Linked DNA regions of Arabidopsis thaliana. Each later gene encodes a partner of the first gene's protein in a complex. Each region holds a gene or a part of one and is shown on either strand. Other genes may lie near its edges. The genes, in order: SnRK1.3 and AT2G28060.

The links.
Region 2: SnRK1.3 (region 1) and AT2G28060 share a complex: the UniProt entries of both Arabidopsis thaliana proteins name them as parts of the probable heterotrimeric complex.

The regions. Positions count from the first base shown.
Region 1 is NC_003076.8:15,774,703-15,791,370, forward strand, and holds SnRK1.3 (SNF1-related protein kinase 1.3), read left to right. Parts: upstream 1-7,204; coding exon 7,205-7,394; intron 7,395-7,844; coding exon 7,845-8,029; intron 8,030-8,129; coding exon 8,130-8,312; intron 8,313-8,406; coding exon 8,407-8,535; intron 8,536-8,612; coding exon 8,613-8,798; intron 8,799-8,884; coding exon 8,885-8,974; intron 8,975-9,063; coding exon 9,064-9,153; intron 9,154-9,250; coding exon 9,251-9,376; intron 9,377-9,521; coding exon 9,522-9,713; intron 9,714-9,883; coding exon 9,884-9,997; downstream 9,998-16,668. Other genes in the region: cdc2cAt (CDC2C), read left to right, coding at 1-116, 211-227; AT5G39430 (DUF1336 family protein, putative (DUF1336)), read right to left, coding at 600-728, 815-937, 1,034-1,228, 1,320-1,448, 1,525-1,687, 1,785-1,923, 2,036-2,479, 2,579-2,659 and 1 more; AT5G39450 (F-box family protein), read left to right, coding at 11,343-11,351, 11,445-13,175; AT5G39460 (F-box family protein), read right to left, coding at 13,587-15,302. UniProt on the Arabidopsis thaliana protein: Catalytic subunit of the probable trimeric SNF1-related protein kinase (SnRK) complex, a central regulator of cellular energy homeostasis, which, in response to seemingly unrelated darkness, sugar and stress conditions, activates energy-producing pathways and inhibits energy-consuming processes.
Region 2 is NC_003071.7:11,944,775-11,960,992, reverse strand, and holds AT2G28060 (5'-AMP-activated protein kinase beta-2 subunit protein), read left to right. Parts: upstream 1-8,739; 5' UTR 8,740-8,950; exon of another isoform or gene 8,951-9,215; 5' UTR 9,216-9,297; intron 9,298-10,349; 5' UTR 10,350-10,374; coding exon 10,375-10,401; intron 10,402-10,501; coding exon 10,502-10,819; 3' UTR 10,820-11,122; downstream 11,123-16,218. Other genes in the region: AT2G28080 (UDP-Glycosyltransferase superfamily protein), read left to right, coding at 1-219; ABCG3 (ABC-2 type transporter family protein), read right to left, coding at 1,211-1,465, 1,553-1,660, 2,028-2,300, 2,383-2,469, 2,553-2,744, 2,847-2,975, 3,073-3,186, 3,282-3,453 and 3 more. UniProt on the Arabidopsis thaliana protein: Regulatory subunit of the probable trimeric SNF1-related protein kinase (SnRK) complex, which may play a role in a signal transduction cascade regulating gene expression and carbohydrate metabolism in higher plants.

The DNA.
Region 1 (16,668 bases):
TGGAAAACAGAGCATATCAGGACCGTTGATTTTTAAATCAGGAAAGATTGACGAGATTTTGCAAAGGAATGAAAGTAATATCCGTCAAGCTGTCAGAAAATCCCATTTACAGAGGGGTAAACCGGAAATAACCTGATAATAAACCGGAAATAGTCTGATTAGTCCTCTTCATCCACACTAAACCAGTTTTGGGTTTCTTTTGTTTTGCAGAACAAGATGACAGATAAACCGGAAAGGCAAACTACTAAGAAAGACAAAAAGTCCACTTTTTTCATCGTTGTTAGACAAAAGAGGAAACAAAAGAAAGAAACGTTACTTGAAAATAAGTAAATTCCATTAATACTCAAATTGTTTGTTTCTAGTCCTCTTCGTTTTGTGATGTAATAGAGGAAAATATTGTAACAAAAAGTTTGTCATTTTTAGAGGAATCTAAAAAAAAAAATATAGAGCATGACATTTTTCCCTCGTTAAAGTTGTTTTTTTCCAAGATTATTCTCATATTTAGTAGACAGTAGAGACATCAGATTATTTACTTATTACAACATTGGCAAACAACACACAACTCTTTAATGCAAAACAACTTCATCCAACATTGAAGATCACAAAGGGAATGATTCTCCTTCTTCAGGAATTAAAAGTGTAGGAATTTGACCGTTGTCAACAAAGTCAATCTTGCTCAATCTTAGACAACATAGGACCTTTTCTGGTAACTCCTCTTGTTTTTGAGCCTATTTGCAAAAAAAAACAAGTTTTTAATTCTCTACATCGTTCAACAAGAATAGTGTCGTATAAAATATGATAACAAAAACATTACTTGGATAGTTAAGCCGAGATCAAGAGTTCCATTTTTGAGTCGATCTCTGAATGCTTCAAGCCCTTTTCTTGAAAGGTAGCTAAACCGATGCACGTCCAAATCAATCTCAAAGTAGTTAGGACCCTGGACAGAGAGAGACCGAACCGATCATATGATAATTAGGTGACCAAATGGTGTTTTGTTGGTTAGAAAGAGTATATATGGTGATTTTATAAAAACCTTGAAGAAGTTGTGTTGAGGGCGAGAAAGCACGGGTTTTTCATTGTAAGCTTGTATAAGCTTCTTTTCAGTAGAACTCAGACTGAGTTCATCTGGGTTAACTAATCCGGCTACTATTTTAAGCCTTTCACGAAACGGAACGATGTTGTCTTTTGCAAACCCTTTAACTTTTTCCATCTCATCTTCCACTAGTTTCTGTAACAAACCATCTATAACGATCAATGCGCGCATTCACAAAAAATGGTTTAAAAAAAATGAAACGGTCTTTAGGTCTTTGATGGTTAACCTTGATGCTGTCTTGGTATTGTTGAGAGATTTCATTTTTGAAATTTTCTCGTAGTTTAAAGTAAAGTACAATGCTCATGCCTTCTCCGTTACTATCACCGAGAAACATTGCGGCTGGATAAGTTGGCAACTGCAAAAGCCAAATTCATTAGAGTCTTTACCACACATCTCTTTTGATCTAAAGAAACTTTCTTAGTGGTTTTTACCTGGATGTTGACAATTAGAAGAGCAGGGAGGTTTGCCACAGCTTTGATGTTGGGAAGCTCAATGTGTTGGGCTATATGATCAATCTTCCTTGGACACACAAACAAGTCAACACCAATTGGAGTGTATGGACATTGGTTTGGAGCCGGGTGTTTTCGTTTATCTCTACAAATTTATCATTGTATTAACAGTCTACATCCACTTAGAGCCGGTTAAATGCATACATATATGTATATATAAACATAGAAGTTAAGGAATATACTTGAAATAAGTTTCGCCACGTAACTTCAAGTTTGATGGAGGTATCTCACACCAACTTCCTGATGATTGATGCTTCTCTTTGACATAGCACGGAATCGTGTATCCGGCTTTGGGACGGTACAACAATCTTTTCGACGACCCTTTATATAAAAACCATTTCAAAATATACATGTTAAAATTACAGGCTCACATAAGAATGCATATATACATGTTTTGATGTTGTACGGTTTAGTAAAAAATTTGACAACTTACTATGTTCGGTAACTTCTTCACCATCACATGATCTTCTCTTGAAAGAAACCTGATAAACCGCTGACTTCCGGTTTTGAGATGTGGGGGAGTTCAGAGTTTTGTCGTTGAAACTAACCGTTGGCAATGGCATCAACCGGCTCAAATTGGATTTTAATGCTTTTTCTTTAGGGTTAGGGTCTAACTCTTTCAATCCTTTAAAGCTACTATAAGTATTTAGTTTCTTCTTGTTGTTTCCAATAATACCAGACAAACCATTAGTATCTTTATATAAACCGTTGCTCATAAACTTCTCGATTTTATTACCGCCATCAATCTTCAAGTAACTCTCATGGTATTCTTCGTAATTTCCATTTCCATCAACAATGCATGAAGAAGCCTCAAACTCAACCACTTGACCATTTGGAATTTTACCCATTACGCCACCCTCTAACCAAACATTATCAGCTGAAAAGAATCTAGACTTTATCAAATATTCAATACCACCCAAAAAAAAAAAAAGAGACAACCAAAACATTTCATATATATGTATAGATTGACATTTACCTTCATGTAGGCTAATAAAGTCGTCATCAGAGTCAGAGAAAAGACTTGAAGAATCAAACCATGCATCGTTTTGAGAAATATCTGCAACAAAAACCGAAGATCCAACATTCACCACCTATCTTTTTTTTCTGGATAAACAAGAAATCAATATCACAACTCTCATCCTAATGCTACATTGATACTCACCAAAAGAGGTTTGGATTCCAACATCACTTAGGCGTCTAATATCAGACACTTTAGATATGTTTTTAGAAAATCTGCGACGGCCTTTCCTTCGTGGCCTAAGTCTTCTTGAATGTGTTGACATACATGTACCCATTTTTATTACAATTTTTATCTAGAACCTGCCAAAGAAAAAAGCACATATGATACGCCGATGCTTTAAATCACATCTCCAACATCCAAATGCAGTTTTTTCTCAAGAGATGTTGTTAAGATATGAGATTTGAATAAACTTGTAATTAATAGAATCATCTCTACATACTAAGACGTGACTTTTATAGTTTAGTTTTACATTGGATCAAGTCCTTGCCTGACTTTTTCCTGAACATTTGTATATAAAGATTCATTCTAAAGCATCAAATACAAGATTCTTTCGAATACAATATATTTTTGCCGTTCACGAAATAAAATAGATAACTAGTTTACTATGAGGAAGTGGGACACCGGACACAAGAAGATTTAGCAACAAATCTTACATGAATGAGACATGTTAGAGTTTGACCAAGTCAAAACCTACAAGTTGAAGTATATTAAACATAACAAAAAAAAATGAGAACGATTCCATTAAACTGTTTGTTCAATAGGACCAAATTAATATCTTTAAGCGAACATATATACTAAACGTCATTAAGAAAAATTAAACATGATTTAACGTAAATTAGAATTTACATTGATAGAGACGTTATCACGTTACAATCAGATTCAGGAATAACAAAGGGGGTTGTATTAAAACAATGATTTTAGATGTAGGATAGATGAGTTGTGTCTTTAGAGATCTTAGGAGTTAGGATAGTTTAGTTGTGAATTCTTAGCTACACATACATACATATTTAGGGTTACATATTGAGTTGAGATTTTTCCAAAGTAGTGGGGTTGTCTTTTCGTCTTGCCGCCGTGACCGAAGAAGCAGACGACGTCAAGTTTCATTGAGGATTATTCAATAATCTTAATCGACTTTTCATCTTGTTAATTGGGAACTTTGTCGTTTCTTTTCTTATGGGACATAATGAGATTACATTGGTGCAGCAATAGAAGGCTTTCTTTGTTCATCGTTTCGCTGTTCTTCTTTTCTTGAGTTCATTTTTTATTCTAAAATCTTTTTATATCATCCGAAGTTCTTCCTTCAAATCTCATTAAATCACAAACAATTTTCACAACAAAAGGTAAAAAAAATATTACAACTGATGCAGCGCATCTTCTATCTTTCTCATTATCTGTTTTTATTCAAGCTTTCATACTCTGTTTTTATGGGCTTTCTTTATTTTCTCGGTTTAGTTATTACGTGGGCTTTAGGTTTTTGATTTTCTTTTCCATTATGCTTTAGGGTTTGATCTTTTGTAATCAACTATTTAAACCTCTCTCCTACGTGAATAGACGGCAGCTTTTTTATTGAATTATTCAGAGCTTTTAAAGCATCTATCTCTTTTGTTTCTCAGCTATTCTGTAAATCAACGAGCTACAAATTTTGTTCTTTGTTCGGTCACTATGTGAATCAACGAACTTAGGACTTGTTACGGTTAGGCTGCGCCAACAACTCCACCATCTACATATACATTTTTGCAGCCATTTTGTTAAATGAATTCTGGAGTTGGAACTTATTTACAATGGCTGTCACTAGCTTATTCAATGCAAAAAGTTAACTACCAAATCAAAGCAAATCTTATTCAAAGGAATATGCTTTTATTCCACGGCCTAATTATTTTTGCCAAAATGGTTAAAATATTTAAAAATTAAATAATCATTTGAAAGAAAACTTTAAATTGATTTAAATTATAAATCTTTTAATAAAAATATTATTAAAAAAAATAAAAAAATAAAAAAATAATTTCACCGAACATGATTAGATAGTAGGACTAGATGGTAGGACATGTTTATAATATTATAATATATAAACTTTACAACAATTAAATAACCATTTGAAAGAAAACTTTTAAATTGATTTGAATTAAATATTTTTTAAATTAAAGTATTATTAAAACAAAAATAACAAAATAATGTCTAGTTTTACTGAACAAGGTTAGTGGTAGGACGGGTTTGGTCGATGGTATTACGAGACGGTATATCACAAGTGAAATCCATTAGATATGTTTAATTTCACTGTGCATGATTAAATGGTATGACAGGTTTGGATCGATAGTAATACGAAACGATATACTACGGGTGAAATCGTAGATATAAACAATTAAATTTTATATATACATTATCTTAAACACTAAACAAAGTAAACAATATTAATAAAACAAATATCTACATATACATTCTATATAACATATTTTATTAAAAACCTAGCCCCGCGGTATACCGCGGGTCAAAATCTAGTATATCCTAAAAATTCACCGAAATCTCTCCAAATCAATTGTTTTTCTAAATTCCACCAAACCCTCCTAAATCTTTAATTGAATACATATATCTCTTTGTGTGTGTAAATTTATATGTATATACATAGAATGTTTGGTTTTGTTTAGACTTTAATTGATAAGTGTTAGTTGAGAACCTGATTGTTGATAACTGCAACACATTATTCAGGTCTCTTCTGTTGAAAATTTTATGGCAATAATCCTTTTCTTGTGGCAATAATCCTTTTCTTAGCGATTCAGGAGGACACGAGGCACACTGATATTTTTTTTGATTACATATACAGATTTGTTCAAATTTAATGTATTGTTTTAGTCTTTTTCTGTTGTCCATTTATTTTCTAGCATACACCTCCACTTTGAAGTTATATTTGTCTTTTTTTGGTAAAAAAAACTAATTTAGTTTAAAAGAAAAAAAAACAGACTTAATAAATAATCCAAATAAATTGTTTCAATCATATACCAAATAAAGTAATGTTTATTTGTTTACTTGTTTACCATCTCCATGGTGTTGTCTATTTCCTAACGATTATCATTGATTTTTTATCTTTTACTTTAAAAATAAAAAGTTAGACAAATCTTGACGAATTTTTTACATACATGAATTTTTTTTGGCAAACCCGATAAAATGGTTCATAGTGATAATAGAACTGAACTGAACATAAATTGAAAAAAAAAAAATCAGCTAATCTATGGGTCTGTGGCAGTTCTAATGACTCTTTCAACAAGATCTAGCCATATTTTAGTGTATGTGAAAGGGCATGCAAAGAAGATATAGTCTTAGGCTTTTCTCGTTTCCCACAAAAATACACTATTTTGAACATTTCATCGCGGTTTTGAATAGTAATTTTAGTTTTAGTTATATAATAACTTATAAAAAAATATTTATAATACAAAAAAATCTTTTTAAATGTATAATCTAATTTTTATGGAAATGTAAAAAGGGTGTTACACTTTTTTCAGTACGTATTAAAAATTTATCTCTCATCACAAAAATCTAAATCACAATATTTAAAAGTATTAACTAGTAAATCTACTTCAAATTAAAGATTATTATTACTATTTAAATATCTCACCAATAAAAACTCATTGATTTTTTCTAATTTCTTACAAAACATTCTCCGTTGGAAATTTTCTTTATATATGTATATTCTAAATTAAAATAAGAAAGAAATATTCATTGTATGGTTAGTCAAAGTACCCACTCACATTAATGGCAACTTGTATATCAGGAAAGATATTTCTGTCTTCAAAATGTTGAATAATTAGATTCTAAAAACTGTATAAAATATTAAAATCTAACCATTTTACTAATATATTTTATATTTTTGTCATAATTAGGTAATTACTATTAAGTTAAAACAGAAACTGATCTACTTCTTAACATGGTTGTGTGTAAATTAATTTATTGTTTAATATGATTCATGAAAAAAGTGTGATACCATTAGTCAACAGTGTGACTCAGATTTACCTCAGCAAAGGAGAGTAAAAACAAAGGAAAGATGATAATATATGTGCCCATAGACTCTTTTCTTGTACTTTTCCTCAATTTTCTAGTGGTGCAATTTTTCGTGTGCATGCTCATATAATTTGTATCATGGGTTCCATTTTTTTCTTGCATCAACCATACTCTATAAGATTATGTTAAGAGTCTTCTACGTCTAAATCATTTTTCCAAAAAAAATTCTGTTCAATTTGAAGGTTTTTGTTAGAAACAAAATCTATGAATTTTATGAAAATTTACTGATTTTTATCGGTTTAGACAATCAGTCAAACCACAAATTTCTTCCTTCAACTAGGGGACCTATTCATATAGTGAACGAAATGAATTTTGCTAAAATATGATTTTGATTTGGGGCGTATCACCTTTTGGTGGATTTTCTAGTTAGATTCACCATCAATTATTTTTTATTGTTCATTTTATAGGTAGTTTTTTTCTCATAATCCGTCCATTTTATTGATATTTTACCTTGATATATATTTTTGTTATAGAGGTTTAATTATATATTTCTTTTTTATATTTCAGGTTTTATTATCTATAGTAATTAAAATGGATGGATCATCGGAAAAAACTACCAATAAATTAGTATCGATTCTACCAAATTATAGGATTGGTAAGACTCTTGGACATGGATCCTTTGCGAAAGTGAAATTAGCACTGCATGTAGCTACTGGTCACAAAGTTGCTATCAAAATTCTTAATCGCTCTAAGATTAAGAACATGGGTATTGAGATCAAAGGTATGTATTATTTACTTCAATTTTGTTACTCTTTTTTCATTTGTACAAAAGATTAGAGGAGGTATAACACCTCTCTAAATGTATATATAGATGTATCTTTATTTTTCTTCACGAGATCTAATAGGTCTACGAGATTTCGGCAACCACCATGATCAATAATTTTTGGTTTTGATAATATAATTACAAGTTTATTTGGTATGGATTGTATTTTAATACTGAGAAATCAGAAAAATATTTTTATTTTAAAATCTGTTTTTTTCTACGAAAATACTTTATCCGAATCTTAGGTCTCGAAGCCGAAAGACTGTTCATTAATATAGGTCACTGTTATGATTTGTTTTTTTTTTTGGACTACTTTATGTGGCAAAAAAATATTACGCTTTATGTCTTATATAATCGTTGTTATTTATTAGTAATCTTAATAAATGAAATTGTTTAAGTCTCTTGTAGTACAAAGGGAGATCAAAATTCTCAGATTTTTGATGCATCCTCATATCATCCGTCAATATGAAGTTATAGAGACGCCAAATGACATTTATGTTGTGATGGAATATGTTAAGTCTGGAGAACTATTTGACTATATTGTAGAGAAAGGTAAATTACAGGAAGACGAGGCTCGTCATCTTTTTCAGCAGGTTTGGTATATATATAGTATTTATCCAAACATTTTGTATTTCATAAAACCTTATATCCTTTTCGATTGGCAACACTTTTATTTAAACCATATATTCTCAGATCATATCTGGTGTAGAGTATTGTCATCGCAATATGATCGTTCATAGAGATCTTAAGCCCGAGAATGTGCTTTTGGATTCGCAATGCAACATAAAGATTGTTGACTTTGGATTGAGTAATGTCATGCATGATGGTCATTTTTTAAAGACTAGTTGTGGAAGCCCTAATTATGCTGCTCCAGAGGTATAAGAGATTAACATATTCTTCATTTTTATTTCATGAATTTGGATATATATTTGAAGTATCAATTACTCACACCTGAAACTTATTTATATAGGTTATTTCAGGAAAACCATATGGACCAGATGTAGATATATGGAGTTGTGGGGTGATATTATATGCTCTGTTGTGTGGTACTCTTCCTTTCGATGACGAAAATATTCCTAATGTATTCGAGAAAATAAAGGTATTAATAAACAACGATCTTTTTATAAAAATCATATATATTACACATGGTTATGAATTTTTTCTCTATTTCTTTAGAGAGGAATGTATACTCTTCCAAATCATTTATCACATTTTGCTAGAGATTTGATACCGAGAATGCTTATGGTTGATCCTACTATGAGAATTAGCATTACTGAGATTCGTCAACATCCTTGGTTCAATAATCATCTTCCTCTTTATCTTTCTATTCCTCCATTAGATACCATAGACCAAGCTAAAAAGGTTAGAATTTGTTTTCATTAAATTGTACCAAAATAACATCATTTTTATGAATTCAGTTAATTTTGTATCAATTTTACTCTTTCTAGATTGAGGAGGAGATAATTCAAAACGTGGTTAACATAGGGTTTGATAGAAACCATGTTGTTGATTCTCTTGCCAATAGAATCCAAAACGAGGTATGAGTGTTTTCATATTTCATATAATAATCCTATTATACTCAAAATAGTTTTATAAATGATACTCAAGTTAAATTTCGTTACTTTAGGCTACAGTTGCATACCATCTAATCCTAGACAACCGAAACCAAAATTCTGTTCCCAATGACCCTTTCCAATCCAAGTTTAAAGAGATTTCGGTACTTACTCTCTTTCTCTACAACCTGAATTTAAGAAAAATAAATAAACATTACTTCTCTATATAATTATATTTTCGTTTTAATCCTACAAATATAGGATGGTATATTTAATTCGACGTTACCAGTTCAAAATATTACTTCACATGTTGGCCATTCATTTTCGGCATTGTATGGACTAAAATCCAATGTCAAAGATGACAAAACATGGACCCTTGGACTTCAGGTTAGTCCATGCATGGTTAATGTTTAATCCATTGTTGTTCATGTTACTTTAGCATTCAATTTCGTCTCATGTTTTCTTAATTTTCTTTCTATTCAAAACAGTTTATCAATATATATATCAAAATAATTGTTTGGAATTTTGACAGTCTCAAGGGAGTCCTTATGATATCATGACTGAAATTTTTAAAGCTCTTCAAAATCTAAAAATATGCTGGAAAAAAATCGGACTCTACAATATAAAATGTAGATGGGTCCGAAGCTTTGCTTACTATAAGAATCATACAATTGAGGATGAATGTGCCATCATCTTACCGACCGTCATCAAATTTGAAATTCAGGTATATTTATCCAATTTAAGATATTATACTATAATTTAATAGTCCATAAATAACAATTTTTTTTGTTTTGATGCGAATATAAAATTATCAACAATTTACATTGTTAAAATCTATTTAGAGCAATTTCTTAAATGCAAACCTAATTTGTATCATTTTGGTTGTTGTTATAGCTATACAAAGTACGCGAAGGCAAATATTTGCTGGACATCCTAAGAATTGATGGACCTCAGTTTATCTTCTTTGATCTATGTGTTGCGTTTCTCAGAGAGCTAGGTGTCCTCTAAAGCTCAACCATCACTGGTGTTTTAGATGATTATTGCGGTTAGCTAGGTCCTCTAAAGCTCATTTCATCAATGTTTTTTCGATGATTATTGCTTCAATGTTTTAAATTCAATTATGTTTTCTATGTTTCTGTATTTATGGATTAAGTAATCCTTGACAATAAACAAAAAAAAAAAGAAGATAGATTGTATTTTTTTTTGCATTAAGTTTTGGAAAATGCATGTACTTTTTACACTTTCTCGATTTATGATGCCAATTTTGTTTGAAAAACACACAGTACATGCATTTTCATAGATTTTTTTATATTTCTAAAATATAATTTAATGAAACCACATTTGATCAATTAACTCTGTTTAGCAAAGTGATTGATCACAGATCAAGTTGAATATATATTTACCTTCTAAGAGATTACAAATCGGTGATTGATCAAACTAAAGACCAAAGATACACAACCAACTCTCATGGAGCTTCACGAGAAACTCCTCAGTCAGACACACAATTTATTTCTCCTCATCTCTTAGAATTCTCATATTGTCTATCCAATTTCGTTTAGTGTGTCTGACTCAAAAACACTCGAGTATCGTCAAAAGTAACGTCAGCAGTATTATATTGTAGCGTACGTTATTCTTCTAGTATTTTTTATTACAAAGAAAACTAAACTGTAACATTAGATTTTTGTCATTGAAACCCATCTATATAAACCAATCAGCATCACTTTGAAAACCATCGTAATAACGTGTTTAACAAAATACCTTTATTTCTACGTCTAATATTTGACTTGGTTTAAGTAGTTTAGAGACTGTTTTTACGAGACACAAAAATCAAAAAACTCTTGTTCTACACAACCGATATAAACCGATGTCAATTCTTTGCTTTCAAAATTAATGAACTTTTGAAGGAATCAAAACCATTTCTTATGGGCTAATATTTTTCTTAAATGGGCCAATATGTATCCATTTAAAGGCCCAAATATTTCAGAACCATCCTACAAATCTCCAGCCTCGTTGTGGTGTGGTGTAGTGTGTTTTGGAGAAAAGGACATTTGCAAATTATTCTATTATTTCAAACTAGTCCCTAAAGTTCTTACTAATAGTGAAAAGAAGCACTAGGAAGACTTCAACAGTGTAGTCAACTTTAAACTTGCAACGAAAGACCAATGTCTCTCTCTCGCATCGTCTTCTTAGTTAGCGATTTCCTCATTTTTCTTATACAATCTGATTCGGATCGAGTTCTTCTTTGATGGGTAATTGAAAAGTTTGAATCTTGTTTACGTAAAAAGCGATCTGATTCAAACCAAAACTGATATTTTTGACGAATCCCAAAGCTGCGTTTTTTGATCTTCAAAGTATGAATCAGGTAAAACTTTGTAAAGCCAAGTTTGATTTCTGAGTATCATCAAATTTATGTGTTTATCTTTAGTGATTTTGTTACCGATTTGATTTGTGTTAGATGAGGAACGGCGATTTAGGGTCAGAATCATTTGGTACTTGCTTGCTTCTGTCTCTTCCAGAAGATGTTATTGCTGTTATAGCACGTTTTGTATCTCCAAGAGACATTTGCAATCTGAGCTTATGCTGCAAAAGTCTATGTGACGTTGTGGATTCAGAAAGGATCTGGCTTGTGCAGTGTGAAGTAGTAAAGGTTCTTCCTTTATCTGAAATAATCCAATGGCGAATTGGGATTTCTTCTTATAAGGCGCTTTGTTGGTTTCTTGGAGAGGTAATGAAGCCTCTTGTTGGTGTTTGGGTTCATCAAAACCCTGAACTTGGGAATGTTGTTTATGTCATGCCTGGTTTCTTGTCTGTTGTTGGGTGTCGGATAATTCCACAAGAGGTTGGTCCTTTGGGGATTGAGGAGGCTCGAGTTATGTGGTCACCTGTGTTTGAGATTATCTGTGGTTTTGATGGCTCCGCCAAGTTTTTCCTCCATGGGAGAGATGGAAAAGTGCAATGCTGTCTGCACCCTGGTTTCGTTAGGGGCATTGAGAAGAGTTGTAATGTGCTTCTACTTGAGGTTGAGACGAGGCGAGAGAAGAAGTTGTGCAATGAGATTGATGAGACTGTGTTGTTGGTAGAGACGGGGGTTCAGTTACCATTTCGCAAACTACCATTTAGTTATAGAAGGAATTTACTTCACATAGTGACAAGCACTGTTGGTATACCTGTACCTGATCTATCAAGTGAAAAGTTATTTCCTACGTCAAAAGATGATGAAGCGGTGTTGTTGGAACGCAGAACCATGCTTCTTAAAATGCACAAGTTTGGTGGTGATTGGAATCACATGAACCTGGAGGATGAGTGCACAAATATTCCAAATCAGGTAGACATAAACAAATCGTGGAAGCATCTAGGTTTTGAAGGCGATATTCGCAACATGGACGCTGAGAATCAGACACAAAGGAAGAGCTTTAGTAGGTATTTCAGAAGTGGCATAAAGCATATTCTCGGGAGGTCTAGTTCTTCAAAGAACATGTCTTCTTCAAGAAGTGAGACTAGACCTTTGAATCTCCAAAAGTTTCTTAATTTTGGTGATTCAATAGGTCTTAGTCTCAAAGCTTCCAATATTAAGTTGTCTTCTTACCAAGGTTGGCCAAACATGGACGAAACCCGTTATGCCCTTTATAAGCTACCGATTAAGGATCCCATCGCTAACGATGAGTATGCCGGGTTATGGGGAGGAACTTTTGGCTGGCCACCAGGAAAATGTACAGAAGATAAACCAGGGAAGGCTTTTTTTCTACTGATGCTCTCTTATGAAGAATCTCAAGATGGTACTGAGAGACTTCTTATAGGGACAAAAATACTCGAAGGAACTCACTACGGGATGCATCCTAATGGATCTGCAATGTTTGTTATAAAAATTGATTCGCCATCCTTTGAGGGTTTTCCTTTCGACACAAATGGAGAAGATTTTGAGCATTCTTACGCAGGAGAAGGTACTGCAAAGGGTTATGGTTTCCGGTATCCTGGTTACAAACCTGGTACACTTTTCGTGACATCTAAAGGTCTTCTCATGTTCATTTGGAAAGCAACTAAAGCTGTGTTGACATTGCAAAGACTTAACCTTGGAGAGCTCTTAAGGAAAGGTGTATGTGTATCGCCTTTACCTCCATGTTTGAATTTTGCTTATTTGATAAAATGTCACACCAATGTGTTTGCCCCTGAACGAAGAAGATCATAGGAGATTGCTGCAACAAATTTGAAACTCACAAGTCTTCTCTATTTCCAATATAATAGGCTCATTATCATCATTGATATTTAGTTATTTACACATGTAGTAAATATAAAACATGCTGCTAAAGGATACACTTGTGGACTTGCTACTGTTTGGATTTAGTATCAAACCTATTACTCAAACTACATAGATGTGTTGGACTATTCACAAGCTCAATGTTAATCAAGTGTAAATGTGTTGCAAAGTAAAATAAACCATACAAGGAAAAAAGAATTCCACAAATTTAGTTTTTTTTTTTTGTTGCAATACATTGTTTGGTATATACACACATTAAAAGCATAGTAAAAATTATTATCTCAAGATCTGTTGCAAAGTGTTCCATTTCCAACATTGATGTGTTTCTTCATACAATATTTTTTACTCGGAGGAAGACGAATAGGTCGATGACTTGGCAAACACGTTTGAGTAAGACCTTTTAGTATATGTAAAATTCTTTGTTGGAAGCAAAGGTGAAACACAAGAACCTAAACTCTTCTTCAAGATCTCTCCAAGGTTTATTCTTTGCAATGTAATCACATCTTCAGTTCCTTGCCAAACGAATGCAAGAAGATCATTAGAGCTTACGAAAAGGGAACCAGGTTTTGAACCGGGGTATCGGAATCCATAACCGTCAGCGATACCCTCTCCCGTGTAAGAATGCTCGAAATCTCTTCCATCTGTATCAAATGGAAACGGCTCAAGGGAAGGCGTGTCAATATTTACAACAAACATTGAGGATCCATTAGGATGCTCAGCAAAATAACTGAGTATTTTCGTCCCGAAAAGAATTCTCTCACTACCCTCTTCAGATTCTCCATAAGTGAGCATTAATAAGAGAAGGGACTCATCTTCAATATCTTTCCCAGGGGGCCAGCCAAACGTTCCTCCCCACAAACCCGCATACACGTCGTGATCGAGAGGTTTCTTCATTGGTAGTTTATGAAGGGAAAAGTTGTCTGCGCTCATGATTGGCCACCCTTCATATGAAGACATCAAAGTGCATGAAGCTTTAAGACTAAGGCAAAATGTATTACCAGAGCTGAGAAAGCTTTGGCGATTCGAACGTCTTGTCTCACTGCTCGAAGGCGAATTGATCTTTGAAGAACTGAACTTCCCAAGAATATGTTTAATGCCACTTCTTAAAAACCGGCGAAAGCTCTTCTTCCTTGGTGTAACCTCTATCTGATCCTCTATATCCTCCATGTTGTCAATGTCATCACCAAGATTTTCCAACAATTTTTTTATGTCTATCTCTATATGATTGTAACACAACTGCTCATCCTCCTCCAAGTTTATGTGCTTCCAGTTTCCACCAAATTTGAGCATTTTAAGGAGCATGTTTCTGCGTTCCAACATCATCGCTTCGTCATATTTTGACCTGGTGGGAAATAAATTTCCTGTTAATGGTTCATCGACTCGTAGACTTACATGTTTTGTCACTATATCTAGTAAGTTCATTCTATCACTGAAGTCTAGATCTCCAAATGGATCCCCTACTTCTCTCTCAATCTCATTGCACGAACTCTTCTCTGACCTCGGCTCAACTTCGAGTAGAAGCACATTGCAACTCTTCTCGATGTCCATAACGAAACCAGGGTATAAGAAACTACCTTGTTTGTCTCTTCCATGGAGGAAAAAACCCTTAGAGCCATCAAAGCCGCAAATTATCTCAAACACCGGTGACCACTTGACTTGGCCCTCTTGAATCCACAAAGGAGCAACCTTTTGTGGAATTATCCGGCACCCAACAACAGACAAGAAACCAGGCATCACATAAACAACATTCCCAAGTTCAGGGTTTTCTTGCACCCAAATCCCAAGAAGCGGCTTCACCACCTCCACAAGAAACCTACAAAGGGCCTTGTAAGAAGAGATCCCGATTCGCCATTGGACTAGTTCAATCAAAGGAAGAACTTTTACTTCTTCACATTGCACAAGCCACGTCTTCTCGGAATCGACAAGGGCACAAAGACTTTTGCCGCACAAGATTAGATTGCAAATGTCGCTTGGAGAAAGAAAACGAGAGATAACAGCAAACACATCTTCGGGAAGCGTAAGAAGCAAGCAAGCTCCAAACGATTCCTTGTTCATCATGTACTAAAAGTCCAATTCGCAACAAAACCACCCAAGGTAATTAAACACACAAATGATAAAATATATTTATGAAAGTACTCAAAATCCAAATTTAAGAGTAAAATAGCAACGGCCTTACGAAATTCAGACTTTGAAATCAAGAAACACAGCCTTTGGGATTCTGGTTTTGGTTTGAATCAGAAAGCAAAAGAAACGAGGTTATAGAGGTTTCTGAAGATCATAAAAGATCTTAAAGCAGAGTACGCAAGGAAAACGTTGAAATCCTCAACATAACAAGAAAGGCAAAAAGACGACGAAGTGTTTGATAATTGTTTGACAACTTCGTTAAATGTAGTTTTAAAATTTAAAACTACAATACGTGCACATGGAATTTTTCAAGGTGGTTTCAAAATTATTATAGTTGAAGATTTAAATACTAGTGTCTAAATATTATGGAATAGTATGTTGAACGGGTTTTAATTACCAGTCTAAGTTTTATTAGTTTTTGACAGAAGTTTTAAAGCTATTATTTCTTTACCTCGAGACCATTTTCCAAAAAAAAATTCAACCATCGTTTCATGTAATAAAGATTTCGGCTCTCTCATTTTTCACAACCAAAGAGCTCACTAAAACTACATATAACGATGTAGACCTTTTATTTCTTTCATGCTCTAATTTAAACCGTTTTAACTAGTAAAATTTTAAAGTTTTTTTTTATGGCGAGCAATAATTTTCTGGAAAGTTCTATAACTAATGGCTTTACCCACACAATAAATATCTGGGATCGATCATCGATGAGAACACGGTAAATGGCTCTACATATAGTGTACCACGTACGACCAGGGGCGGATCTAGCATAATAACACGACATACGGCTCTACACGAATAGTCCATAATAACATGACAAACGCATAATGTTATTTGGGGTGGGTGGGGTGGGGGGGGAGAGGGGGCAAAATGGAGATATTTCCATAATACATATGGAGATAGTTTCATGAACAGTCCATAATCTTATATATTGTTAAAATGATGTTTTATTCAAGAATTTAAATGAATTCATTTCTAAAAGATTCCGCACTATATCATCCAAAAATGATGTCTGTAAGTTGTAAAGGTAGTAGAATCGTATATATGAAAGTTGACCAACTCTCTCTATATGATTGAGACATCGTTACTTTAGCATTTGCCATGTATCTATTAAATAATTAATGTAAACTCTTCAACTTTTAACTTATATGTTAGTGATATATTTATTATTTAATTTTACATATTATATTATTTTATATATTTAATTGTACTATTACTAAATTTATTTAATATTACATGATTTTTCAATAAAACCATTTTAATAGTTTTCTCATACTCGAAGATTTTTTTTGTAATCCAA
Region 2 (16,218 bases), on another chromosome or scaffold:
GGGATTAATCTTTGTGAAGATAAGAGTGATTTTGGTAGAGATGAAGTTGGGAGGAATATTAACCGTTTGATGTGTGGTGTTTCGAAAGAGAAGATCGGACGGGTTAAAATGAGTTTGGAAGGTGCGGTGAGAAACAGTGGATCTTCTTCGGAGATGAATTTAGGTTTGTTTATTGATGGACTTTTGTCTAAGGTTGGTTTATCTAATGGGAAAGCTTAAATTCTATGAAAACTAAAAAAAAAAAATGTATGAATTTTTGTCAAATTTTTTATTTGGGGAAACTACTGTCTCTTAAATTTAAATTTACTTTTTTCTTTAAGTCCAAAGAAAAAAACTCTTTCACAAAAACGTAATTCAAATTACCGTTTACTTTGTTTTTTTTAAAGTTACATTTATAGAATGGCCGAATAACTTTTTATATCATAAAATAACTATATACTCATTCATGCATATTATTTTGATTGACAATTTTTTTTTTGCATAGTCACACTAAAAAACGGGTATTCCACCATTATGTGTGTTACCAATCAATACTGCTTTATTAGATCTAAACTTTATACCAAATCATCAATATTTTCCAAACAAGGCTCAAACCCGACCGGATTCAAAGTTTATTTCACTAATTCAACTTGTTTGGTTTTGGTTAAATTTGGAATCAAAATGTCAAACTGAAATGAACCAAAACCAAAATTTAGTTCAATTCCATCATTTTTGTTTTTTTGTTTTCTTATTGCACTTCTGCTCTCAGTTTCCAAGTTTGATTTGATTCACTATTTTGTCACTCTTCTATAACATCAAAAAAAGAAGAAAAAACCATTAGTGATTATGACATTTTTTGGGAAGGTCCCAGTCCCAATTACACTTTTTAAAGATTATTTACATACTTTTTGTGTACTACATATCATTCAACATTCATACAATCAAATCATACACGTTCACATATCATCCAATTTATAGTGTAGAAATATAACAACACAAACATTCATAAGCCATAATACTAAAAATGAAGTGTTTATTTTATTTTATCTTAAAATATTTTTTTTTCAACCCAAATGAGTCTAAAAAAGTACCAAAGATGCATATAAATATTCAAAAAGGTGTTATCTACCCAAATTTCTAGAAAAAAAAGAAAGAATTGAACTGTTTTCATTTTCACCTACCAAAATTACATAAGAGGCTAAAGTTATATTATCTAAAAACAATCACTCATCTACCTAGAGCTGTTATTTTTCTTATGACTAAGCAGTAAACGACCAGACACATTCTTGTTTAGGCCAAAACGTAGTAAAACATAAACAAGAAGACGGTAGCCAAAAGCCATCGCTAGCAACACAAGCATGTTCCTCCATTTGGCATTTGTGTCTGGAGATATTTGGTAATTTCCTTGGATTGCTTGGTAACCCGATATACTCCTCACTTCTCCGACCGCAAACACTTCCCCGAGGTACTCGTTCTCCAAAAGACCCTACAACATTCAAAGCATACAAGAATGTTCTTGAGTTTTCCCTGGGAGAAAACAGAGATTGTTTGTTTTGAGAGTTGATTATGTAACCTCAATGGAGTAGGTGTGGAACGAGATGTAAGCAAACGGGTAAGTCCAGACAGGTTTGGGCAAGGCGGTACGGATTCTGAAGTGTCCTGCTGCGAGCATCATGATCACCTGCAATGATGCATATGAAGAATGAAAATCCTAAGGCATGAATAATCTTAAGGCAGGCACTAATCACTCTCATTTCTAATCTAAGTGATTAGTAAGCAATAGTTGCAAGTTCTATAAGCTAATAATAATATAATCACTCCTAACTTCAGCTCTCATTGACTTGAGTTAAGAACCATTCTAGTTCTGGTTGGTGAATTTCATTGAACGCTGTTGAGCATAAATTTCCCTAAGTCGTAAATCCAGTACTATCTAGCAGTCAGTGTACCAAATCAACATTCAATCCATGCAAAATCCTAGATAGGAAAAGAAGAACAGTAGAAGAACATGAATCTTAAATTAGATAAATAGTGCGAAAGAAAAAACTCACATGTACAGAGATGAGAGTCAAAGTGCTCCAGTAAACATCTCGCCAAATGCAAGCAATGAAGAGCATCAATCCTTCGTTCACCAATAGGCACATGAAGAAGTTGAGCACAAAGTACATCAACAAGCTGAAATCATCTCTTAATCCAACCATGAAGTAGAACACAAGACTTGAGGAAATGGACATGAGAAACAAGAACGGTATGCTTCCCAGAAACTGCCCTAGTAAGAAGACAAAAGCGCCCGAATGCTGGTTCGATGCTTCACTTCTATAAATCTATTAAAAGAAAAAGTAAACTTCAGAGCTCAAAAGAAGAAGTGATCAAAGATAAGAGAAATCAAAAAGGAGAAATAGTCACCTTGATTTCTTTTAAAAGTGAAGGTATTCCAGCAATCCCCAACAGTGAAGCAAACGAGACAAAAACAAATACCGCAGCAACTCTTGTCTGTAAGAAATATTTACACCGAACGATAATTGCATCTCTTGGTACTCAAATGTGACATGCTGAGAATGGTTTAGAAGACTTACTGCAACAGAAGACAAAGAGTGACCTAAGCCAGAATATAATGTGCCAATACTAAGTGTAAGAATCATGTAGAGGATAAGTCGGAGCCAATAGTATTTCCATTCTCTTGACATAACTAAAAGTGATCGCCATGTGAGCACTGCAACACGTGTAGCAGCACCGGCCTTTCCCTTGGATTTAAGCTGTGTGCCCTCCTGCAAATGATATAGGAAACAAAAAGAAAATTGATTTACTAACACATGTCTATTTACAGTTATGAAGCTATGATCCAAAAATTATCATTAGAAAATTATTACCCTTTCGGTAAGTTTTATTATCATAGCTTCGACAGAATCAGCATCTGCAGATGATTTATAAGTCGCCTCGAGAGTGCGAATAGCAACAGCAGTATCCATGTTCACTGCTGAAAAGTCCCCATTATCGTCCTGTCGTTTATATTTAGCTCATATCAGAAAACTGGCGTTACAAGAAGCTAGAAAGAAACAAAATCATATAACTCAAGGTGTATAATGGTGTATGCACCTGCCAGTTTTTGCACATTGCAATAATCCTATCGAAATCTGTGTTTATAGCCCGCAAAAAATGATCTGATGGACTTTGCATTATCGGGCACGGGAATCCAGCATTTGAAAAATGCTTCAAGGAGACAGACACATAACAAGCAAACATAATTTAGAGAGTGATCATTTGGCCATGATATGAGAAATTTTTCAAGTTCAAACAATTTATACCTGTAAGCAAGCCAGTGTCTCCCCAAAGAAGAGTGTGTTTCCATTTGATAGAAGGCAGATTCTATCAAACAAACCAAACACTTCGGTACTACTTTGATAAATGGTGAATACAAGAGTACATCCCATACTTGCAAGCTTTTTTAGTGTCACCATCATAAGCAGTGCCGAAACACTATAAAAAGAGCAAAGGAGCCAATTTTAGAATGCAAGATTTTACCTTTTAGTAGAAGGCAAATAATAACATAAGTCTAGAAATGGTTAGAACCTGTCAAGATGATAAAGAGGCTCATCGATGAATAAGATATGTGGTCGCATCACAAGTTCACGAGCAATAGAGACACGTCTTCTTTCACCACTTCGAAGACCCTTCATGTAACAATGACCACCGATCAATTTGTTTGCATAATCACTCAGAGACATGGCCTGTATCGCATCTTCAACAACACTCCTTTTCTGAAAGAGGAAACCCGGAAGCTGAAGCAACGCTGAATAGTACAAGAATTCACGAACTGTAAGTGAACCAATCAATTGTGTTTCCCTCTCAACAAATCCCTGCAATGCAGCAAACCAAGAATCAGAAACACATTACAAACCAAAAAGAAAAGATCAAGAAAACAATATACAATAGTGACTCACATAGGATCCATAAGGCATATGTGACTTTGAGCCATTCACAAACACCTCACCGTACATTTTTGCTGAAGGAGGCAATCTTCCTATAAAAGATGTGATTAGATCAAATGAAAAAACAAACTAACAATGAATAAACTGACAAATGACATACCAGCAAGAGCCCTCAATAGAGTAGACTTCCCGGATTTTGCAGGACCCATAATTACAGTCATAGTCCCGGGAAACGCATAACCATTCGAACTCTTTACAACCTTATCAGAATATTTTCTCTTTCCCTTCATAGTAACAGTCAAATCTTTCCAAGCAATAGAAGCACCAGCAATCTTTCTAACAACACCAGTCCCAGCTCCTCCTTCAGGAACAGGAGGAGAAGCCATTGATCCGCTATTCATCTTCGACAACGAAGGAGAAACAGGCGTTGTTGTAGCGTCATTAATAGAATCACCACCACCAGCTTCATCTTCCATTCTTAAATCAACATCAGGTGTGTCTTCCCATTCAGGAGAGTCTTCAAAAGATATAGGTTGTCGAAGAGAACCAGGTTTTCTTACATAGAAAAAGTGACTAGATGGAACTCTACTAGTAGGACTACTTGCAGAAGACGAAGACGAACGGTATAAATCCGATTGAGACTGTATCTCCTCCATCCTTTGACACCTCAAGAACACAAAATGTTCCAAAGAAACTACAAATTTTACAATAAAATGTTTAGATTCCATAATCAATGCAACCAAAACAAAAAGGCCAATAAGTGAAGAGACTACTATATATAGTAGGAATCAGTGAAGCACTATTAAAAATCTAAACTTTTTCCAAAAGCTCACTAAATTACAGTTTAGTGACTAGTGAGAAGTGATTCCTAATTAAGTAACTTAGTATAAATCATAAAAACCCTAACTTTTTTCAGTTTCTGCATTATTGAGACACTGAAACAGAGTAACTTCAAGTTCATAGATTTTCTCAGCAACTAAACGAAGACTAAGCAGGAGAAGAGACTCAGTTCGAGTTATGATGAGAACAAGATAGAGAAGGAGACAAACCTGGATCTGAGTGAAGTAAGATCCACAGAGAAAGACGCACAGAGACTGGAGAATCTCTTCTTGGTAGCAAGAGTGAGAGAGCTCTCAAGTGACGACGTCTCTCTAACCAAACCCTTTGGGTTCCGCAAATAAAGAAACAAAAAAATGGATTGGGAATTGTTTTTTGTTTTGTCTGAAACCAAATGCTTTAACGAATTACATAAAAGTGAGCAAAATTCCATTTTTTTTACCTTTTAAGAAAAAAAAATCATATTATTGTATAAAAATATAAACTTAATTTGCATAAAAAGAATTATTTATAGAAAGTATTGTGAAAATAGGATTTCTTAAAATTTGAAGGCACTATGGCATTTTTGCAGATATTATATTTTTCCTTTGGATTTTTTTCTTTTTAGTTAAGTTTTTCCTTTGGATATATAAAGTTATTTTGGGGCTTAGTTGAAGTAAAAAAGTTTTTATTTCTATTAGAAATTTTAAACAATGCCTATTTTCACAATACTCTTGTGAAAAAATGTCAATATAGAAAATAATTTAAAGAAAAAAAATACTAACTTCAACTTTAAGCTTTTTTGTTCGTTTAAGCTTTAGATATCTGAACAAAGGTTTGGCCTAGTGCTTTTCTTAATTATGCAAACAAATTGCTGACATTTTAAACGATATAATACAAAATTTTGAAATATCTTGCTCTTTTTTGGTATTAGTATCAGCTTTTCTTCTTTTTATTTAATGATATTAATTGAAAAGAAAAGAAAAAGAAAGTGATATTTGGTTATCTTTATAATCAAGCATGAAGAAACCAGCTACTTAAAATAAGAAAAAAATATTGTTTGTATGATAAATGGCTTACAGATTTTTTTTCATTTTTTCTCGATGTTAACGTTATTTGAGTAACTATTTACTATCTGAATGGGAAACACTATTTGGTTTTGTTGAAATTGGTGGCAAGTTTTAAGTGGGCTTGAAGAAGTAAAACGGCCCATACACAAATTTGCAATTATTTCCCTCTTTCCGATCATTTTCCTTGAAATCGTTCACGTGATCCATGATACTCCTCCTCCATTGCCACTCTATTTAGCAATTTACTCTTCTGCTCTCTTTTTTTTTTCTTTCTTTCAAGTTTCACCATGCAAAGACAGAAAATATAAGAAAATGCTTCATTTGGTATTCTTGGTTTTCCTATAAAATGAATATATCGACCTATCCAAGGCTAGTAGCTTGATTTTTGTAGTGGGTAACTTCAAAAGGAAGAGTCTCTCAAGACCAGGAGTTTGGTTCTCGGCGGTGGGAAAATGATTCATTTAGCCTGTTTTTGTTTGTAGTTCAAAAATCTACGTACCAAAACCCCGAAAATTTTGGTCAACCAAAAATAAAATCCGAACTATATAACTGCGTTATCATCTATTCGGCACTACATAGGAACTTGAGGTAACAAACTTAACATTTTCTTGTTTTTCTACTACAAGAAAACTGTCCAATTTTCGACCATGAATTTAGTCAGAAATTGGTCAAAAACAACCCTGAATAAAAGCAATAAAGAAGAGTTATCCAAAACTAAAAATTTGAATAAAAAAGCATAGAAAATAACACATACTTTTGCATTACATACGTCTTCATAAATATAGACACCAAAAGAATCAACACATCAGTCTTATTTGTATAATTAAATTCTCAAAATAGAAGAGAAAATAATCAAGGCGATATCTTGGACCGGGAGGTAACTTTAGATGAGGAACACTTAATGGAAACAAGAGGCTGATAATTTACAAACCGGCTCGGAGCGGATCTTGGTCGGAACCCTTTAGGCATACAACTCTTTACTTGTGTCCCATGAAAAATCTGATTCCTCGGATTCAATTTGACCGTGTCTTCGACTGATAAAGGCATCATCGACGAGCTTGGAACACTCTCCAGTGGTATTAGTCTCCCTCCAGCGTACAAGAATAAAAGGTTTAGAGTGATAATGACAATATGAACTCTTGTGTTGAACATTGGGTTTTAGTTTGAAGTAATTATTTTTGTTTTTTTGAGAGAGTTTGGAATGATAATGTGAGGGATATATAAGTGGGAGGAGATATACACTGGTTTAGGGTTAAAGTTCATAAATGGGCTCGTGAGTGATGGCTGGAAACATAAGAGAGAAGAGTAAGTAGGAGAGGACAGAGGCAAAATGGCTGGAAAATGGTATTAATCAAAATACGATTTTATATGTGTGATAGAGATACAAAAAAGTGTTGATGGGGTCGGGAAGATCAGAAAGAGGTAGGAAAGTCCGTGAGTTTCAGAAATTACAATCAAAGATCAAACATTTGTCTTTGCATTTATGAATTATGACACACTCACACGCAATTTTCTATATTTTCAAACTATTGTTTCTCTTGTTTTAAAATGGTTTGGAGATTGGACATGGATTTTTAAATATATATATTATTATGTACACGGTTGCATGGGTTTTCGGGACTATTGGATTTTGCTTTCTTTTGGATAACAAAAACACGATAAATATTTCATTAAACCATACAAATCTTCGATTGATAAATACATATACGAAAACATACCTAAGGAAAAGGAATCCATTGTTGTAGGATTTAGGTACCATGCGGTTTTCCAAACCATAGAGTAATCTCATATGTATTGAAATTTAAAAAAAAAAAAATACAAAGAAGAACTAAAAAACAGAAAAAAAAAACTAAGAAAATAGGGAAATTAAGTTGGAGTCTCTTTAATTTGTTTTTTTTTTGTCATCTAGAGTTATTTTAATGTTACCATGATGAAATACTTGATAAAATACAACATTAAACCGAAAGAAAACGAGATTTTTTCGAAGTTTAAGCCCTAAGTAAAAAAGTCATAAATAATACTACAAAGCAAGAGGAAAAAAGCAATAGTAGTTGAAATCCCACCAAAACTATAAGTCGCATAGTTCTTGAAGATTATTTGAAAGAAAAGTATCGCGGATGCCCACCACCAACCAACGATACACAAGTCCTCCTATTGAGATGAACAACAACCTTCAGATTTCAGAATTTTTAAGCTTTATAACCTGATAACCACTGCCCAAACTTTCTTTCGTATGTGGTGATGTCATAAATCGACAAGAAACAATAAACATTAAGATTATGTGCCTTCATTGGATCATGGACTGAAAATTAAGCTCTTCGATCAACTAAAACAAATTTATCATCATTGTTTTCATACTCGCTGCTAAGTTTGCAGGGGAGTATTAGAGTCCACAACTAAAACAAGTCCAAACCCAATGTGAGGTCTACATAAGTAGAATTTTAACAAGTTAGAAGATTCATATAAACAATTATGTAATGAGAACTATGATTGTAACTTTGAGAGAACTCTCTTCCTTCATCTTATGAAATATCAAATCTAGAAACATTGGCTTTTGGTGACAAACCTTAAGCTCCTTTACATTTTTCTCTTCTTTACATTTCAATAAAGCTCACTAGAACTATTGCATTTCTATCTTTATATAATAAGCTCAATGAACATCAATCTATATTTGTCTTAAAAATGTCAAATAAATAGAAGTTTCATGAAAGGACCAGACCTCGATCAAGTCTGAGAAGCATAGACAAGGAGTGAAGATTTAGTCTCGATAACACCATTCTTAAGAGACGAAAAAAGGTAAAAGATCGAATCGCATAGAATCAAAGAAATCTTCACATATTCAGAGGAAAAACAGCATGTCTAGCGAACACTAGAGTCGAACAAAAGCAAACCACCAATCACACATCCTTATTTGTCAATTATTTATTTTGGAAACTAAAAAGAAAGTTAATGAGTAAAATAGTTTCCATAAGAAGAAAAAAAATGTTTTCTGAGGAAAGAAAATGTTTTCGAAGGACAGCAAAGTTTAAGCCAATAAGCAAAACAAAAGCTGATGCTTGTCGCGACTGTGTTCGTCAAGAATCTCCAGGACGAACCCAATCTTCTCTCTCGAAGCTGTCTAAAATTAATCAATCAATCATTGAGCTAATCATATTCTAGGTTAAGTAAAAACAGAGTAAACCCTCTCTTTTTTTCTCTTTCTCTGCCTTTCTCAATTTCGTTTCGTCTCCTTCGTTCTTCCAATTTCCGTCTGATTTTATACGAAATTTGCATTGATATCGAAGTAAAATCGAATACCCATGATTCAAAATTTCATTTTTTATGCGACTGATTCCTCAATTTTGATTTTCCGGTGATTTCTAGGGTTTTCTATTAGGTGGGTGTTATTTATCATTTGATGGGTCATTTACTGATGATTTTGCAGGTTTTTGTTTTAAGGATTTGTGTAGACTTTCATTGCTGCTACGTTTTTGAAAGGGTAATTTGAAGGGCTTAGCTTCCCAAAGGTGAGAATTTTAACTCCAGTTTGGCTTCTGATATTGTGTTCATTGTTATGTATTTTTAAGCTTAGTAGTTGTGTTTTAAAGTTGTTCCAGTTTGGTTGATAAGTGTGTATGTGTGTTCATCAGATTGGGTGAGTACAGTTCTTTCATTGATATCTCCAGTTGATTTGTGGGAATTTTGTTCTGTGTGTATAGGATTTAGACCTCAAATATTGGATTCTCTTTAAGCATTTAAGTGCCTGGTTTCTTCATCATCACTTGATAGGAGGACTTTACAAATTTTATTCTGAACATGGAATTTGGTTAGCCGAATAACTTCGTGGGGATTAGTTTCTCGTGCAAGGAAATTCTTCATGGTTCTGTCTTGGAAGTGTTTGGAATCTTGAAGCTTGATAGATTTTCGATGTAGGCATGATGCGGTTTTCTTATAGGTTTAAAGGGTCTTTAGCTGAGATATGGTTCCTATGGTGTGTAATAGGTTTAAAGGGTCTTTAGATGAGATAAAACTGTGCAAAGAGTTCATATAATAAATGGTTAAATCCTATATATTATCTGTTCAGTGTACATAGAGAAGAATTAGCTGTGGAATTTGGATGTACATGATAATAACAATGTAGTTTATGTCTTCCAACTTGTCTCTGTTGTGATAATGATCAATGTGTTTCTATTCTAACTCCTGTGGTCCATTGATTTTTGAATCCTTTGTCCACCTTAGTACTTTCTTCGAAGAAGGCATGGGAAAATATGATTCTCTGGTCCAACTTTCTTAAGACTGTCTGCATCTTTGGATCCTTAGATTTGTCTACGGGATTATGAATTATTTGACTTTTGATACCGATTAGACAAAAGTCTTACATTTCACACAAATAAGAGTTTGCATCATTGTAGAGAACAACATTGTTTTCATTTCTGCTTCAGTGTTTTTGAGTTGAAATGTAAACACCTCTTTCTCTTAGATTAGTTTGAATGGCACTTGAGCTGGTGTGACCTACATTCATTTTGATTGTTTACTTTGCATGCTATTGCGGTTTAGTTATGATTATATTTTGTTTCAGGCACTAGGTGGCAATCTTATCCAAGATGAACAGTCAAAATCCTGATGATCATGTAAGCCAGCTAAAACACCTTTTTGCCTTCAACCAACTAATCGAGTAATTTCCAGTCTCCCGCTCGATTTTTCAATCTTTTATCGTTTTCTTAAACATAGGAGGACACAACGGTTGTGGGATTTGAAGTACCTGTATCACCGGTTTCAAGTTACAACAATGTGTATTCCTCAACCGAAGATGAGACAAGAGATCCTCCAGCAGTACCGCCACACCTTCAACACTCTCTATTAGGCAATCAGGGTAGCATGGAACTGGCTTATGCGCCACAGAATGTTGTCCTGAACCACCTCTATATCGAGAACCGAGACGCCCCAAGATCTGTTGTAGCACTCGGTTTCTCGCATCGGTTCAGGACTAAGTTTGTCACTGTGGTGATATACAAGCCTGTCCAAAGAAGAGGGAGCGCCAATGTTTGAATAATGATACCTCTTTTTAAGTAGTGTTGGGAATTTGCTTCTTTATGGATTGAATTTGGTATACAAAACCATCTGGTCCGTACTGAATTTTATTCTTCTCTTACAGATTCGATTTAGACGGTTTCTAGGTACATTCGATTGAAATCATCTTCTTGTTCGGAGTTTATATAAAATCTCCATGCATTTTTATTTTTTAGGCCCAAAAAAGCTGATAGACGTGGGCATTGTTTGTTTGTAATAACTCCCTTAGATTGGGTTTAGTTAAACGAGCCCAAATATCGCTAATGAAGTTCTTTACTTGCTCATATGTAGTGTTACCATAAATTATTTAAATCTTTCGTAGCTCCAAAAAGGAAAAAAAAAAAAAAAAATCTTAATCAAAACTTTCTATGTCCGAGATAAGTTACCAAACTAATGCTCTAAAACTGGATTGGATCGTCGGATCAATGCATTAGTCTAAAACTGGATTGGATCGTCGGATCATTGCATTAGTTCGGTTTGAATGTAGATCACTTATACTCTCGTTGTTTTTAATTAAGTGTAGTTTTAAGGTTTTTTATTTTTTTTTAATATAAGTGTTGTTTTCACTTTTCTATGCAAACATTAAATGTATTTAATAATTTTTAATTAATTATATTTTTTTACTGGTTGGATTAGTTGTAATTAATGATGTTTTTATAGGAAAAAGATAAATTAAATAAAATTTGTATGTTTTCTTAATTTGTGTGCAAAAACTTTAAACTACAAATATTCAGTAACAGAGGGAGTATATAAAAACAAAGTTGGTTTGTGCATGGGAGCTTATTTGCACAAAATTGATTAAAAAATGGGTTCTGGATATTAATAAGACTATGATTAATATCCAGAACCCTATATTTTTTTCAATTTCATCGAAAGTTTCATCAATGTAACGTTAAAACAAATTATACATCTTACAACCGTCAGAAACTACTTTAAATCCATGATATCACATATATGAAACTAACATTATTATTTGAACAAATTAAAAAACATTATATTACGCATTATAACATTGAAAAACAAAACAAAATAACTAATATAGAATAAAATAAATTGTATCCGGATTGGAAATTGCTTATCTGATATTTTTTTTAACCGTATTTTAACTTAGAACAAAAAAAACAGAGTGTAGGGAAACATAAATTCTACCAAATTCGAATATATAAGAAAAACATAAAAAAAAATTAACAAATAAATTAAATAATGGAAAAAGCAGATAGGAGAGCTAATGGTTTAGTGGCGAATCTAAATTCTGTCCAAAGAATTGTCTGACCTCCCCTAGCTCAACATCTTGGGAAGAATATTAATTTATCCGTTTTGTTCATCCGCCTAAAGAGATAATTTATCTGCAAAGTTTTTTTATATTTGTAAAGTCATTCGGTTTTGCCAAGTTTTACTAGGTCTAGGTAGATTAAAAAGTAAATTCGGTTTGAAAGTTATATTTGGGTTGGATTACTGTCCAAGTTACGGGTATACCGGTCCAAATTCAATAACACATCCAATAAAATTTTCGATCTTAAAACATCTTCTTTGACCTGTCCGGATAGGTAAATGTCTAAATCTCTTTTTGAAATTAGGTATGAAATCTCATAGAACTAGAATGTAACTCCAAAATGATTCTTGAACATGAGTGTGACTAGCCAAGAGCATACCAAATTTAAGATCATTATGATATGTCCAAACTCCAAATTTAAGCCACACTTATTTTCTCAAAATTATACAGAACTATGATTTACTAAAATTGGATTCTCTGTCTATTTTTGGTATAGCTATTATCCTAGTGAATTAGCACAATGTTATTATATGCGCTCTCTGCTAAAAGTAAAAACCAGCTATCTTGTCAAAACAAAAATAAAAAGTTTCTTAACCAACACATGAAACTGATAAATACTATATAATATAAAATTAACATATATCGCTATCAAATCATATATCGTAGGTCCATAATCTTTCTTTTAAAATTCATATGAGTCTTTTTAATTTATTAATTTTGTCGTGCTCATAATGTTTTCCCTCTAAATCCTAGTTTTTGTAGTTTTCTGCTATGCAGGTATTTGTAAACAACTTATATTTTTGGAAATTTGGACTCTAAAATATAGAAAAGGCTATAAAATAAACACTGTGATGTGGCATATGTGTTGTACACCTTTGAATCTGACAATAAATTACTCGATCTAGTGTAACTTTTGCATATGAGATTTTCTTTTGTCGTCTATATATTACTTTGTTTCAAAGTTTAATAATACAAAAAAAAAAGTGTCTTTCATTTGATTTGTTGACACAGAGCAAAGCCAATGAGGATTCGAAACGTTGTAATTAGTACTCATAGTTGGCTGACTTTGTCTATCGACATAATGTGTTGCTTCTCTCATTATGAGATTCCATTAGTACAATTTTTTTTTTCGGCGCATCAAAACATTTCTATTAAATCGTTTTTTTTGTTCTCATCGAATTTGGTGATGGGTTAAAATCCAAAATCTTTAGACGAAAAAGCAATGATTTATTCCATTAGCATTATACATTTCATTTTCACATTGAATTGGAAAAGTAAAAGAAAGTGAAGAAGAGGGGACCAGACAGGAACTGGGGTGATAGAGTTTGGTCCATGGCTCTGTCCTTGAGCCCATTGGTCACGTGGCAAGGAGTGTCTTACTGGTGCACTTTTATGAAACAACCATGAGTGTCACGTGACGTACCATTGGGGCTATTGGTCCACCTCAACCTCATTGGAGCCATGTCATTACATTTATCCTGTTTACTTTTCTCTTAATAAAAAGTTTATAAGATTACAAGTTTTTGTTAGAAAAAAAACACACAAAAGAATTAGCCTAGAAACTAACAAAAAACAATGACACTGGACATACATTTGTCGTATGCTTAGGACAATGAAACATGCTTTAATCTTCTAAACGAATTTAACAATTTCATGATATATATTTTTTTGTATATATTTTATGGATTTCACGATAGGAAGATGTCTAAGCTATATTTACAAAAAAAAAAATGTCAAAGCTGATTGTTTAACCCGTTTATCCGAAACCAAAATTAACGATATTTTTCGAAAAAAATTGTTTCTTCCAATTAAACAATTAATCAAAAAAATAGTTAAATTTATATGGGGTAAAAAAAATTTGTTGTGTTGTATATAGGTAGGGGAAAAGAGGTGGCTACGAAATCATGACGGTTCGAAGAGAACACGTAATAAAGAACGCCAACTTGTCAACAAAATCTGCACCTATCCACTTCAGACTGTACGGACTTGGGGTCCCTTTCAGGTGGCCTGATTCGAATCTCACCTTTAGATACTTTTCAATATTTTGGACAATGAAAATCAAATTTAATGGAAAGATACGAAATGTGGACTAGATAAGATATGTATTCCCTTACATTATTTTTATAATCTGCTAAATTATGAACTAACAGTTCATATTTATTGGGCTAAAGAATTCCAGTTTATAGACTAACTTTTATTTTAGTTGGTAGATATGATATAAACCGCTCAAGACATTGGTTAGGAATTAGGACTACACACGCGCTAAATTCACGTTGAGAACTGGCTGGCCCAGTGTCAAGTGGTTTTCTTTCGAAATTATTTGAATTTAAAACTGTTATAACTAATAAAACAACAAAATTATGAATAAAATACGAAAGTTTGTTATTGATAGTCCGATAGAAAAGCAGATTAATATCTAAAGCTATGCTACCGTTTTATTCAAATAATTTAAAAATCAAAATTAATCTCTTATAGTCTCATTAGTCTTGGCACACACAATTTTAAACAACTACTCTTCACCTACACCCGAAAAAGAGGCGTGAGTATTAGTGAAAATGGTCATTCTAGCATGTATGCTAACACGATAACAACGAGCAATGAGCAATTCAATGCAATCAATATAACCTATTTTCATGTAATTCAGTTTCCCTTTTTCATTCTCCATCAGTTTCACTTTTTAAAGACCACACACTCCAAAGGCATCTAACGATCCCAAAAATTACAAACTGGCTTTGTAAGCTATAACAAATTAACAACTACCAAAAATAGTTATACCTTTTTATTTTATTTTATTTTCTTCTAAATTCTGTTATTTTTCTTTTCTAAAATCTAGTTTAAACACAGTGACGTAACTTGGCAAGTGCGTATTGGTAATGATAAAAATATTCCCATGATATTATAGTTTAGTGTTAGTAGTCTAATAATAATTGCGGTAATCCTTTTTCCAAGGGTTTTCAAAAACTATCTTTACCCTAAACCAAGTAACCTTTATCGAATAGATAGTGGACAATTATTTTATAAATAATAATACTTCAAAAAAATAATCCAGAGACCAGATCCTCGTAATAGCATCAGAGTTCCTTGGGTTCAACAAAGTACTTCAAACCACCTGAATAGTGAAGAGTGAAGACCATACTTTCGAGTTTTCTATATTATCAGTAAACATATACAATACACAAATATTAATCTGGTTAAAGTTACTAGTTAATTTTTCAAACAATTGGTATATATATGGATTTGCTTTTCCTGCTAATCGAAATAAATATATGATTAGTGGGGTATATAATTATATATATAAATATATATAGCTTTTACTTTCTTTAAATAAAAGTCGGGTTCATCCACTTTATATACTCCCTTTCTTTCAATTTATTTGATGTATAAAGGTTTGCCACAAAAATTAAGAAATCGTTGAGAGCAAAAATTAATATGCAAACCGCCAATATTAAAACTCCCAACTTCGAGAGAGACACGTCCAGAATCAAGCACCACACCCCCCATTTTGTTGTTTTCTCTTCAACTCTTACACATTGTATGACAAACATATTATAATAACTAACCAATGAAAATGGTTTTTTTACATGACATTTGGCAGGTAATTAAAGGAGGTCCGTCTGCTAATACTTTATTAGGTTAAACAAGTATGATCTATAAACTAAATTTACTACACATGGTAGAGTAAATGTAGTCAGGATCCTTAACTAAAGATTAATTTTATTCGTTATTATAGATGCCATTGAGAATTTGAGATTATAGGTTTTGTTTCAAGTATAATATAAATCTTATTATAATGTTTAATATAAGAAGCTAATACATATATGTATATTTGGGAATGTGGTTTTCGAACTTTGCTTGATGACAATAATTTTCTATTCGTGATGCACCAATCGTTTCATTTTGTAGACAGACATTTTTCATTGACCACTTTTAACACGTGAACTCTTCTCTTTCATTTCTTTAGTTCAATTCGAAATAAAACTGTTTGGACCATTTTCTTGTGTGCGTAAAATCTTTGTCTTGTAGATCTTTTGGTTTAAAGATCAGTTTGTGTGCATGTTTTGGCGGTATCATCGGTTTTGCTAACCTGTAGTACTTAGAGAAATTA